Linked DNA regions of Pelodiscus sinensis. The protein of the gene in region 3 purifies or fractionates together with the protein of the main gene of each other region. This does not show direct contact. Links are inferred from orthologs where the notes say so. Each region holds a gene or a part of one and is shown on either strand. Other genes may lie near its edges.

Region 1 (3,746 bases), on a different chromosome or scaffold from region 3:
TGGGTGCCGGGGGGCCCATGCCAGGGCCAGGCGCCCCACCCCCCTCGGGAGACGGAGGCTGGGTGCCGGGGGGCCCATGCCAGGGCCAGGCGCCCCACCCCCCTCGGGAGACGGAGGCTGGGTGCCAGGGGGGCCCATGCCAGGGCCAGGCGCCCCACCCCCCTCGGGCGATGGAGGCTGGGTGCCAGGGGGGCCCATGCCAGGGCCAGGCGCCCCACCCCCCTCGGGAGACGGAGGCTGGGTGCCAGGGGCGCCCATGCCAGGGCCAGGCGCCCCACCCCCCTCGGGAGACGGACGCTGGGTGCCGGGGGGCCCATGCCAGGGCCAGGCGCCCCACCCCCCTCGGGAGACGGAGGCTGGGTGCCAGGGGGGCCCATGCCAGGGCCAGGCGCCCCACCCCCCTCGGGAGACGGAGGCTGGGTGCCGGGGGGCCCATGCCAGGGCCAGGCGCCCCACCCCCCTCGGGAGACGGAGGCTGGGTGCCGGGGGGCCCATGCCAGGGCCAGGCGCCCCACCCCCCTCGGGAGACGGAGGCTGGGTGCCGGGGGGCCCATGCCAGGGCCAGGCGCCCCACCCCCCTCGGGAGACGGAGGCTGGGTGCCAGGGGGGCCCATGCCAGGGCCAGGCGCCCCACCCCCCTCGGGCGACGGAGGCTGGGTGCCAGGGGGGCCCATGCCAGGGCCAGGCGCCCCACCCCCCTCGGGAGACGGAGGCTGGGTGCCAGGGGCGCCCATGCCAGGGCCAGGCGCCCCACCCCCCTCGGGAGACGGAGGCTGGGTGCCGGGGGGCCCATGCCAGGGCCAGGCGCCCCACCCCCTCGGGAGACGGAGGCTGGGTGCCAGGGGGGCCCATGCCCGGGCCAGGCGGGAGCCCAGCTGATGCGCTGCCTGGGGGCTGGCTGCCCCTGTGCAGCGCCGAGCACAGCGCCCGCCCGGCCTTTGCGGAGCGCGCCCCCTGTCGGCGCAGCCCAGCCACCACCGCTGCGCCGAGCTGGCCCAACAGAAGGATTTACGCATGTGCACGGAATGCCTAAACAGTCTCAACTGCGCTTGCGCAGGGGGGAATAGCGCTTGGGGAGGGGGGGGGCTTCCTGCCCGGGCCGCTCACTGCGTGTGCGCAGGGGTTTAGGCTGGAAGCCGGGAGAATCCGGTCTGCGCCTGCGCGGGAATGGCGTCACACTGCATCGCGCCTGGGCGGCTCGGAGGCGCCTCTGCCACCTCGGAGGCGCCTGCGCGGTGGTGTCCGGCCCCGGCGCGTCTGCGCCTGCGCGTGGGGCGGCGAGATTCCGGAGCCCGATCCGCGCCTGCGCGCCGGTGTTCTGGCCCGGCCGGGCGGCGCCTGCGCGGCCGAGGTGTCCGGGCCCGGCCGGGCTGCGCCTGCGCGGGCTGCGCGCTGGCGGGGCCCTAAGCCGCGGCGCTCCTGTGTGTGAGAGGCGGAGGGAGCCGAGCCCGGAGCCCTGCGCAGGCCCAGCCCGTCCCCCCCCCGGCATGGCAGCGGCCGCGGGGCCCCCCGCAGCCTCCCCCGGGCCCGGCAGGCGGAGGGCGGGGAAGCCGCAGCGGCCCGTGGGCTAGGCCGAGCGCCCCCCCCCCCCCCCCGGGCCAGGCCTCCGCGCGCCCGCTCGCGCCGCCGCTGGCCTGAGGCGCCGCCCGCCCCGCCGCGCGCGCCACGAGCCGCCGCGGCCCCGCTGAGGGGCCGGGCCCCCCCCGCCCGGGCCGGCTGCATGTGGGGCAAGATGGAGGCCAAGACGATCGTGTACGACCTGGACACCTCCGGGGGGCTGATGGAGGTGAGGGGGCGGGGGGCGCGCCGGGGGGGGCCGGGCGGGGGGGGTGCGGCCCAGCCCCTCACGGCCCCTCTCTGCGCGCAGCAAATCCAGGCGCTGCTGGCGCCCCCCAAGAGCGAGGAGGGCGAGAAGCGGAGCCGGCGGCCCGAGAAGGAGGCGCGGCGCAGCGGCCGGGCCACCAACCACGACAGCTGCGATAGCTGCAAGGAAGGCGGGGACCTGCTGTGCTGCGACCACTGCCCGGCCGCCTTCCACCTCCAGTGCTGGTAAGGCCGCCGCGCTGCCGGCCGGGCGGGGGGCTGCCTCTCGGACGGGCCGGACATTGCGTGAGCGCCTCGCCGCCGGGAATAATGGAGGCTGCTGCCTCTCGCACTGTTTACAATATGGCGACCTTCCTTTAAATTATATTTTTATTCTCAGCGCCATTTTGGCTGCCTATAGGGCTTGCCGAGCCTGGCACCGTTACTGGAGTATTGTTGCGTACGGATGGATCGGCCCAGCGTGGATCCAGGGCTCTGAACTTGAAAACTGACACCCCCCCTCCCCTTTAGTCCCTTTTCCTTCCTCCTGCCTTGTAGGAGTGACCAATGCGAATTCAGGGACCGCTTGCCTGGAGTTTTGTGCTCTTGTTGCTAATCCTCTGTGGTTGTCTGGAATTGTGTGCGTTAGAGCATAGCGGTAAGAAGCTCTCCCTTATAGGAGGCAGGGGTGGGGGGAATAACCCTCTGTGTTTCTTAAGCCTTACAGGCTAATAACAAAAAAGCAAATCAGCAGAGTCAGGAGCTGTCTGAACTTCAGTTTCTGTCCTGAGAAGTTATTTCTTGTTTCTGTGTGGGGGAACCCAGGTGCATCGAAAGCAAATTTGCTTACATCTGTTCAGCAATTGACTCAGACTGGTGGTTCTTGTGAAATTCAAACAGCCGAAGTGACTAATGGGATGGGGGAGGGAGCAGGGCAAGCCGGAGCACTGGTGTTCTGGGGAATAGATAGTCTTCCTTGGAGAGAGATTTTTAACCACGTTCCTTATTGTCTTTCCTGCCTCCGATCTTTACTTGCTGCTGTGCTACAATTGTTTCCTTGTGACTTGAGGTGAATGGTTCTACTTTTTTATATGCTAATTGTAGGTCTTAAGAGACTTATTACAGTGATTACTGATTCTGGGGAAATTAACTGTGTAGTCAGGTTCTGTAAGGAGTGCCCTGTTGCCATTTTGTAGACCAGTCTACCCAGGACAGGAAGCTCTATTTTTAATTATCCATTATATCATCATTTGTATCTGGAAGAAGTTCCCCTGGTAGTTTTATTATATAGAGCACTTAAAACCTGCTAGAGCACCTTGGGCTTTTGGTTGTCTGTTTATTAATTAGACAAGGTGGGTGAGGTAATCTTTTATTGGGTCAACTTCTCTTGGTGAGAGACAAACTTTGGAGCTTACAAAGAGCTGTTGTTTGATAGGATTGTTATGTAAAATATGGCTTAGAAGTTGAGCACAAAAAAAGATAATGTTGTAATTTAGGGTACTGTTGATATAAATAGAACCTGACAAAGTTGAGTGACGTGTCTAAAAATGTTAACCCTCCATACAGTTTTGAGTCTCGTTTGTTGAAGCAGGATAGTTGCTAGAAACATTGACGGGGGCGGGGGCAGGAGGGAAAATGGTTCACATAGTTTCTCACCTACGTAAAACCTGGTCTCTGAGTGAATCAGTTGAGTCTGAACCCTACATTGATCATAACAGTCCACGTCCATTACATAGTCACAGAGAAATTATCTAATGCACATACTTCATGACATAATTTGTCACAAGCTTCAAGTTTTTTAATCTGTATTGGGAAACCATAGTAACTTTATTCAATTTAGAGACTTTAGTGAGGTGACCTCTTTCCCACAACTGACAGGACTAAACTACACCCCCAACTGTTTAACTACGATTTTCATGACTTGCATACAGGGCCTTATCCTG
Region 2 (3,746 bases), on a different chromosome or scaffold from region 3:
AAAATCTCGCTTTTTCACCCCCTTTTTAGGTTCTGATTCCCTGAGTGAGTGAGCTGAGATATACAAGACTTATTGTCTACCTGAAATTAGGGCTGATGAATGGTGTTGATATATTTCAGAGGGGTAGCCATGCTAGTCTGTTTCAACAAAAACAAGGAGTCCAGTGGCATTTTAAAGACTAACACATTTATTAAGATATTAGGGCATGTGATGGATAGGAGTGCTGGCCAGCACCTGAGATTAAGCGGTTAAGCTCAGGTAACTAGCAAGGTTGTTGGCAGGAGGCCAGAAGAACCAAAGGGGATACAGTGCTAACATTTGAATTGTATTTAGATATCTTGCCTCTGCTCTCTTTGTGGGAAAATTCTAGGTTAGGTTTGGAGAAAGTAGATGCAATAATTAGAATTACCATGCCTATAAAAAAAATATTGGACATAGGAGTGAACTGGGCCTGGAAGCGCAGATCAGCACAGATCATAAGTAGAGGGAAAATATGTATTTAGTTGTAATCAGTTTTTTTTTTTAATTTTGGCTGTTTAGTTAAACTTGTGTGAATCTATGCCTTCCCTCCCACACTCACCATTTAAATTACTGCCTGAAGAACTATGATTCTTTGTGTTTTTTATATGTTTTCTTAGTTGCTCCGTAACACCTAGCAACCAAGTATGCTTTATCAAGTATATCTTTGCATTTGTTAATAAAATCATCTTTTTTAAAGAGATGATTTGATTTGTGTGTCCTGGAAGATAACAGCAGCTCTATGCATGTGTGCCCAGGCTTGGAGGTCAGCTATCATAAGAACATAAGGACAGCCATACTGAGTCAGACCAAATGTCCATGTAGCCCAGTATCCTGTTTACCAACAGTAGCTAATACCAGATGCCCCAGAGGGATAGAACACAACAGAGAATCATCACTGTTTCTTTTTCTGTACTTTTTGCTTCTTTTCTCAAGCTCTCTTATGGCAAAAGAGCTAAGGGTACTCCTGGGGAAAGAATTCAAGTATTCCTTCCTGTTTTTTCAGAGTTAAATCACTTTATGGTGTCAGTTACCCCACAAAGTCAGTAAATCTGTGACGGGGGAGTTTTTGTAAGCAGAGCTTATAGAGGCAGGTATTTAAAGTCCCTTGAGAGCCCCCATCTTCTGTACTCAGAGTGCCAGAGCGGGGAATAGCCCTGACAGAGCATAACAGAGCTTATGCTCTAATACCCTAATGAATTTAAAGAGCCACCAGATTCCTTGTTGGTTTTGGTGTTGATATGGGCGCTTTAGAAGGGGATTTTGGACCCTCTGTGGTAAGGGAAAATGGACCCTTTTCCATCTGGAATTTAACTCTTCAATAATCTAATAGAACTGAGGAAACATGCTTCTTGCATGAGCTTGGAAGGTCTGAGGATCAGATTCCGCTAATGGTATGCTGAAAATGAGCACGGAGGCAGGGGAGTACTGCACGATATTTTGTGTGGGGATGAACAGTGGGGGGGGTTCTAAAGTTGGGTGCTGGCACTATGGTCTGGGGTTCTCTAAGAAAAGTACTAGGAGCAGGGGAATATGCTAGAGCAAAATGGGATATCTGAGAGGAAGAGCACTATAGCAGTGGCTACTGGATGGGTTGGAATTCACCTTACCTCTGGCTCTTGAACTCCTTCATGATCTCTAAGAAGCCATTGTAGGTGGCAGGATCACTGCCAAACCGAATCTTCACCTGGTCCAGGTAGGAAAGTGCATCCTCCACCTGCAGGGGAGCGGGAGGTAGTTGGGACTGAGCCAAGGTGGAGGGCAGAATGCAAGGCCACTTATAGTCTGAGGGCCCACGGGGAAGATTAATGGGCTTGCAGAGAGATGGGGGTTAGGGATGTAAAACCCCACTGGATCGGTTAAAAGTTAGATTTAACTGATTTACTGAGTAAGTGGGGTCCCAGGCAGGGGACTCCTCCAGCCTGGCTCCAAAGGGTCCAAGCTCAGGCGGAGGCGGCAGCCTGGGGTGGAGCAGTCTGCTGCAAGCTCCCAGGCGACAGTTACCTTGTCACATCCCTAGTGGAGGCTCGCCGAAGAGGGAGGGAGGTCAGGCCCAAGGGGGGGCGGGGGGGCGCTTGAGTGGACACAGGGGCTATCCTGGGTGAAGTGCGGGGGGAGGAAGAGGGGCCATGCGGGGTATTCTCCCCGAGGGGAGGGGCGCTGTGTGGGAGAGCGCAGGGGTTAGCCTGGATGCAGCGCGGGCGGGGCCCGGGGGGAGGGGCGCCAGGGGTCGCGGCAGGCCCGGGGCTACCTCTTGTGGAATGGGCCGGGGCGGGGCTGGGGGAGAACCCCGCACTCACGTGCACTGGCAGTTTCTCCTGCGCGGCGGCCCGGCCCCCGCCCCATCTGGGGCCACTGCCCCCCCGGCCGCCGCCGCCGCCTCCCCCCGCCGCCATGATGGGAGTCGGGCACCGGGTAGAGACTCCCCCTCCGCATCAGCACGCTGCGAGCGTCTTGCGTCACCGCGCGCGCGCGCACGGGCCGCTCAAGAGGAGGCGGGGCCAGGGTTCGCAGGGACGGCGCGCGCGCGCGTGTTTCGCGCGACGACTTGTTCCGCGGCCCGCGCTGGTTTGCCGCCTGAGGTAGCTTCCGGTGCGTGCCGGCTGCTGGCTCCGCCCTCGAGTGGGGCAGCCTGACAGCGACAATCCTCGTGCCCTGCCTGGACAGCTGCCGCTCGTCCTCACTGCCCGCGGGGTAGGACGCTACCAGCGCTGCGGATCCCGAGCGAGCGGGGCAGAGTCGGCGGAAGTGGCCGAAAGGAGCCGCCGCCGGGCGGTGATTGCCAAGTAGCTACCGCAGGGACCGGTCAGCGTCGGGCCCGTGGACAAGGCACCAAGCGAGTCACACTGGTCAAGGGACGGGGAAGGCAGCAAGAAGATCATTTGAATGCCGTAGGAGGAAAAAATGCAGGACTATGTAGCACTTTACACACTAACAAGATGGTTTATTAGGTGAGGAGCTTTCGTGGGCCAGACCCACTTCCTCAGATCAAATAGTGGAAGAAAATAGTCACAACCATAGATACCAAAGGATACAGTTAAAAACATGAACACACATGAAAAGGACAAATCACATTTGTCTACATTTCTATCACTATAGGCGAAAAAGTGAGACCTTGAATGTCCAATTAAGAAGATTGTGAACAGTGTACTACTCATGAATGGGATGAAATTACTAAAGGGAGAAGTACAAGTCCTGGTAAAGAAGAAAGAAATTGGTGAAGTACAGGTGGGAGATAGTGAAAAACAGTCCAACATAAGAGTTCTATTTAAATATACTGCATGGGGGCTGCCTCTGAATATTGACAGCATGTTCAAGTTATATGTGAGTACTGGAAGTCTAAATATTAATATGGGTGAGCTAGAGTGCTTGACATTAAATGAGGATATGGATATCGTAGTCCTCATGAAAAATTAGCGGCATGAGGATGATCAGTGGGATGGGGTGATGCTATCCAGGAAAATATAAAGGAATGAGAAAATAGGTTGTACTCGTGGTACTAAATGTGAAAGAAAGCAATAGCATCAAATAAAGTAAAACTCTTAAATGAATCAAATAGTACCTTAGAATCTCAATAGATATAAATTCTGTGCTTGAACTATGAATGTATAGCAGTTTGAGTACAGTACCAACCACCAAACCAGGATGGTGACAGTTGCAGAATGTGGGGGCTTAGAGAAGCTACACAGGCAGAAAATACAATAATAGGGAATTTCAACTGTCCTTAT
Region 3 (3,746 bases):
ACCAGTTATCAATCCATGAGAGGCCTTTCCCTCTTATCCCACGATAGCTTACTTTGCTTAAGAGCCTTTGGTGAGTGACCTTGTCAAAGGGTTTCTGGAAATCTCAATGCATTCCATCCACTGGATCCCCCTTGTGCACATGCTTGTTGACCCCATGAAAGAATTCTAGTGGATTGGTGAGTATGAGTGGGAGCTGCTTGGATGCCTTTTGCAAGGGGCAGGGTACACAAACCACAGGAAGGGTCAAAGAATGGTCAGGTGATTGGGGTTGCAGGTGACTCAAAAAAGAGGGTCCAAGTCCGGTCACAGAAAGAGCCACTGAAGCTAGTTGCTAAGGAAAAGTTCACCTTCAGTGCCCAGCCAAAAAGAGAACTGCAGAAGGTAAGACTAGGGTTCACGAAGGAGGGGTGGAGCAGCTGTGAAAGATCTGAATTTAAGAGGAGACAAGTTGGAAGCTAGGAAGGCTAGAATGTAAAAGCCAGTCCCCTTGAGGGCAGACTGTGAAATCCTGGATTTAGAGGAGCCAAAAGGAGCTCTTCTTAGAGGTGGATTGTGCTAAAAAACAGACAGCTGAGACCGAAGTATGAGTGGGATCTGCTTGAAGGCATGTGGTAAGGGGCTGGGCACAAGACCCGACAGGAATCAAACAGCACCAGGTGGAGCCCACCCACCCGCAGCTTGCAAAACTAAAAGGCAGCTGTGCCTAGAAGTGCGTCGAGACTCCAGGCCCCAGATTGTGGCTCTGTCCAATCAGCCTGGCCTGGGATGATCCCAAGCAGGTAAAAGTCCCAGCAGACAAAGCACTGCGGCTGGGGGCACAGGAGCCTGGCGGCCTGCGGGAGGGAGGAGGGGGGCGGCGCGGGCCACCCAGAGGACCAGGGAGGAGAACGCCGGCTGCCCGGGGGGAGGAGTCTCGTCGGGCGGGGCTCTGGGCGGCACGACCGAGGATAGGCGTGTGGGGGCGGGGCGCCGAGGGGGTGTGATGCGCCGAGGGAGGGGTCAAGTCGTTCCTTTGCATTCGCTCAGACAATGGGGGAAATGGAATGTCGGCACCGGAAGTGAATCCGTCCAGCCGCTTCACACATTCCTCCGCGTCGGAAGTGGCTGCGGCCTTGCCGTGGCCGGTCTCTAGGGCAGGGAGCGGGCCCTGGGCTGGGTTTGTCCAGACCTCCGTGCCCGGCTGGGGTTGGGGGGGTGAGGTGGAAGTTTTCCGAGCGTCCTGATAGGGTCAGGGACTCTTTTCCGGGGCGGAGGCGGAGGCGCACTGTGCTCTTCGCTTCCGCTAGAGGGCTTTTCTACGTACACGTAACTTCCGGCCGAGTCAGACTCAGGGAGGAGGAAAAAAAACACACACACACAACAAAACCCGACGGGGAGACACAAACAAACGGGAGGAGCCGCCGCGGCGGCGCTTGAGAGCCCGGCCCAGCCGGCGGCAGCGGGGCCCGTAGGATGCGCCCCAGCCCCCGGCTGTGACCCGCCCCCCGGGGAGCGGAGGCGAAGGAGCCCGAACCCCCCCCCCCCTCCCCCCCCGGGTCCGGCTGTTCCTGCGGAGCCGGTGCCCACCGCGGCCCCGAGCGCCGCCATGTCGGGGGGCGGCGGTGGCGGCGGGTCGCGCTACGCGGCGGAGTTCGTGCCCCCGCCCGAGTGCCCCGTGTTCGAGCCCAGCTGGGAGGAGTTCAGCGACCCGCTCGGCTTCATCGGCCGCATCCGCGGCCTGGCCGAGAAAACCGGCATCTGCAAGATCCGACCCCCCAAGGTACCGCACGGGGGAGGGGCAGGTCACGCCCAGGAGAAGGGGCTTGAGGTGACCCCGGGGTGCCGTTTCCTAGGCGCTTTCTCCCTAGTGGGTGTGAGGGGCCCTTCCTGCAGGCCGGGACTTCGCTCAGCCTCTGGAGGCGGCTCTCGGAGCTCGGCTTCGTGAGGCCGGGAGATGCCACAGACGCGGCCGTGGCTTAATCCGACATCTGGGTGCCTGACAGCGCCACAGGGGATATTTGGGAGCTTCTTTCGCCGCTGTGTCGGGTGTAAAGAGCACATGAAGTAAGAGCGTTTGATAACGATGCAAAACTGTTCTCCTTCCTCTCCGCCCCGAAAAAAAAAAACCATGGCTGAGGTTTAAAGCCCTTCCGGTTATGTCGCCCTTTTCGGGTAGCAGATCAGTAAACCATGGTGTCTTTGTCAGGGACACGCAGTTTGTATGTTTATCTTGAACCTAAAAAACTATGGCTGCATTAATACTGGTGAATAAATGTGCTCGGTTGCTGATCTGTTACTTTGTAACATACTGTTCGTTTGGATCTTAAATTTGCCAACATGGTTCATATGAAAACTAGTTCGTTCTTTTTGGGGAAGAAGGATTTTCCATTCTGATACCACTCTACTTAAATATAATTTTCTGAGTATTATAAGAATTGTCAATGATCTGTTTGCAACAGGAAAATTGGTATTTGTGTGTTTTTTTTTAAAAAAAAGGCTCGAAATTAGGTTAGAATAGCCAGACTCTGCCTGCAGCATTATTTTATGACAATTTGTCCTGCAGTCTAGAGGCTTCTGGTAAATACAGCAGTTTCTCAGTAGAATGTACTTCAAACAACTTCAAATTAAAACACAATTTTTAGGTGCAGACAAGAATAAATCAACTTTAAAATAGAAATAGTGAATATGAAAGATTGAAGTGGTTGAGAAAGGAGAGGAGAACCCACGAAGGTGTGGCAGTGAAGGTTGTAGAAACTGTTGCTTACATTTTGTGTTCCTCAGGCTTTTTTCCTTCTGTTCTGCGAGTTGCTGGAATCTGCTTAGTTGGCTTTGTAATATGGTGAAAGCTTGACCTCCGAGAAGTTACCTTTTCTAAAATAAGCAGATTACTTTTGCTTGATTGTGGAATCCAAAAGGCTGAAGAAACCATTCAAGATTCTGGCCAGAAAAAACAGCTTGGGATTTCTTTGCAACTGAACTCTTGGTTTTGCCTTTGTATGATTGATTAGCAGGTTACGTTGCAAGTTGGTCTGGTTGTTTAAAATCCGCAGCATCAATTAGATGAAACACTTTACTGTAACTTTACTTATTCATTATTCCTCTTGTTTATTTGAAATTGTAAATATTTTACAGTTCTGATTGGGGCTTTTAAGTGCTACTGCAATAAAAATAATGAACAATTTTAGTGTCAGTTTATCATCATTTTATTTTAGATAGGCTGTGTAACTTCTTAAATCTTTTTTTAAAAGTACTAGAAGACTTATCTTGCTCCCTTGAAGTTAACAACTAATTTGAGTAACAAAATTGGGTTGCATAGTGTGTTTGTGTGCCAGTTTTACATTTTGGCTTGAGATGCTCTAAGACCCCATTTCTGAGGGTTACATTTCTTATGCTTGTATTCTTATCTCTAGTACATGTCTTGCTCCCTTCATGTCCATATGTGCCAGCAACCTTGGCTCAAGTGCTGTGGTTTATTTGAAATTAATAAATTTATTAGTTAGATTTTGAAATATCTGGGGCTTTACAGGCCTTTTATAAAAGCACTACAATATGGTAATTTTGCCATATGGTTCTCTCCATGAAAACCTCTTATGCTCTAACTTAATGTAAGGGTAATATCAATCTAAATATTTTAAGCTATGATATTTTTACTTTCATGGGCTCTCTATTGAGGCATCTTAATAGTTTTTCCTTACTCCTAACACAAGTATTGGGGAGAAGCTCATTAATTATGAAATTTCCATGCTTTTCTGAAATGGAAAATTCTC

What was found.
Region 1: the proteins of KDM5A (region 3) and PHF12 purify together in Homo sapiens (affinity purification with mass spectrometry; 3 studies listed by BioGRID and IntAct, with this or other methods). This does not show direct contact. The link is inferred for Pelodiscus sinensis from reciprocal best matches to the Homo sapiens genes KDM5A and PHF12.
Region 2: the proteins of KDM5A (region 3) and SIN3B purify together in Homo sapiens (affinity purification with mass spectrometry; 4 studies listed by BioGRID and IntAct, with this or other methods). This does not show direct contact. The link is inferred for Pelodiscus sinensis from reciprocal best matches to the Homo sapiens genes KDM5A and SIN3B.

The regions. Positions count from the first base shown.
Region 1 is NC_134731.1:1,838,031-1,841,776, reverse strand, and holds the start of PHF12 (PHD finger protein 12), read left to right. Parts: upstream 1-1,321; 5' UTR 1,322-1,720; coding exon 1,721-1,786; intron 1,787-1,867; coding exon 1,868-2,049; intron 2,050-3,746.
Region 2 is NC_134729.1:30,806,543-30,810,288, forward strand, and holds the start of SIN3B (paired amphipathic helix protein Sin3b), read right to left. Parts: upstream 2,476-3,746; 5' UTR 2,415-2,475; coding exon 2,319-2,414; intron 2,289-2,318; exon of another isoform or gene 2,270-2,288; intron 1,736-2,269; coding exon 1,629-1,735; intron 1-1,628.
Region 3 is NC_134711.1:107,709,395-107,713,140, reverse strand, and holds the start of KDM5A (lysine-specific demethylase 5A), read left to right. Parts: upstream 1-1,497; 5' UTR 1,498-1,585; coding exon 1,586-1,759; intron 1,760-1,790; exon of another isoform or gene 1,791-2,043; intron 2,044-3,746. UniProt on the Homo sapiens protein: Histone demethylase that specifically demethylates 'Lys-4' of histone H3, thereby playing a central role in histone code. Does not demethylate histone H3 'Lys-9', H3 'Lys-27', H3 'Lys-36', H3 'Lys-79' or H4 'Lys-20'.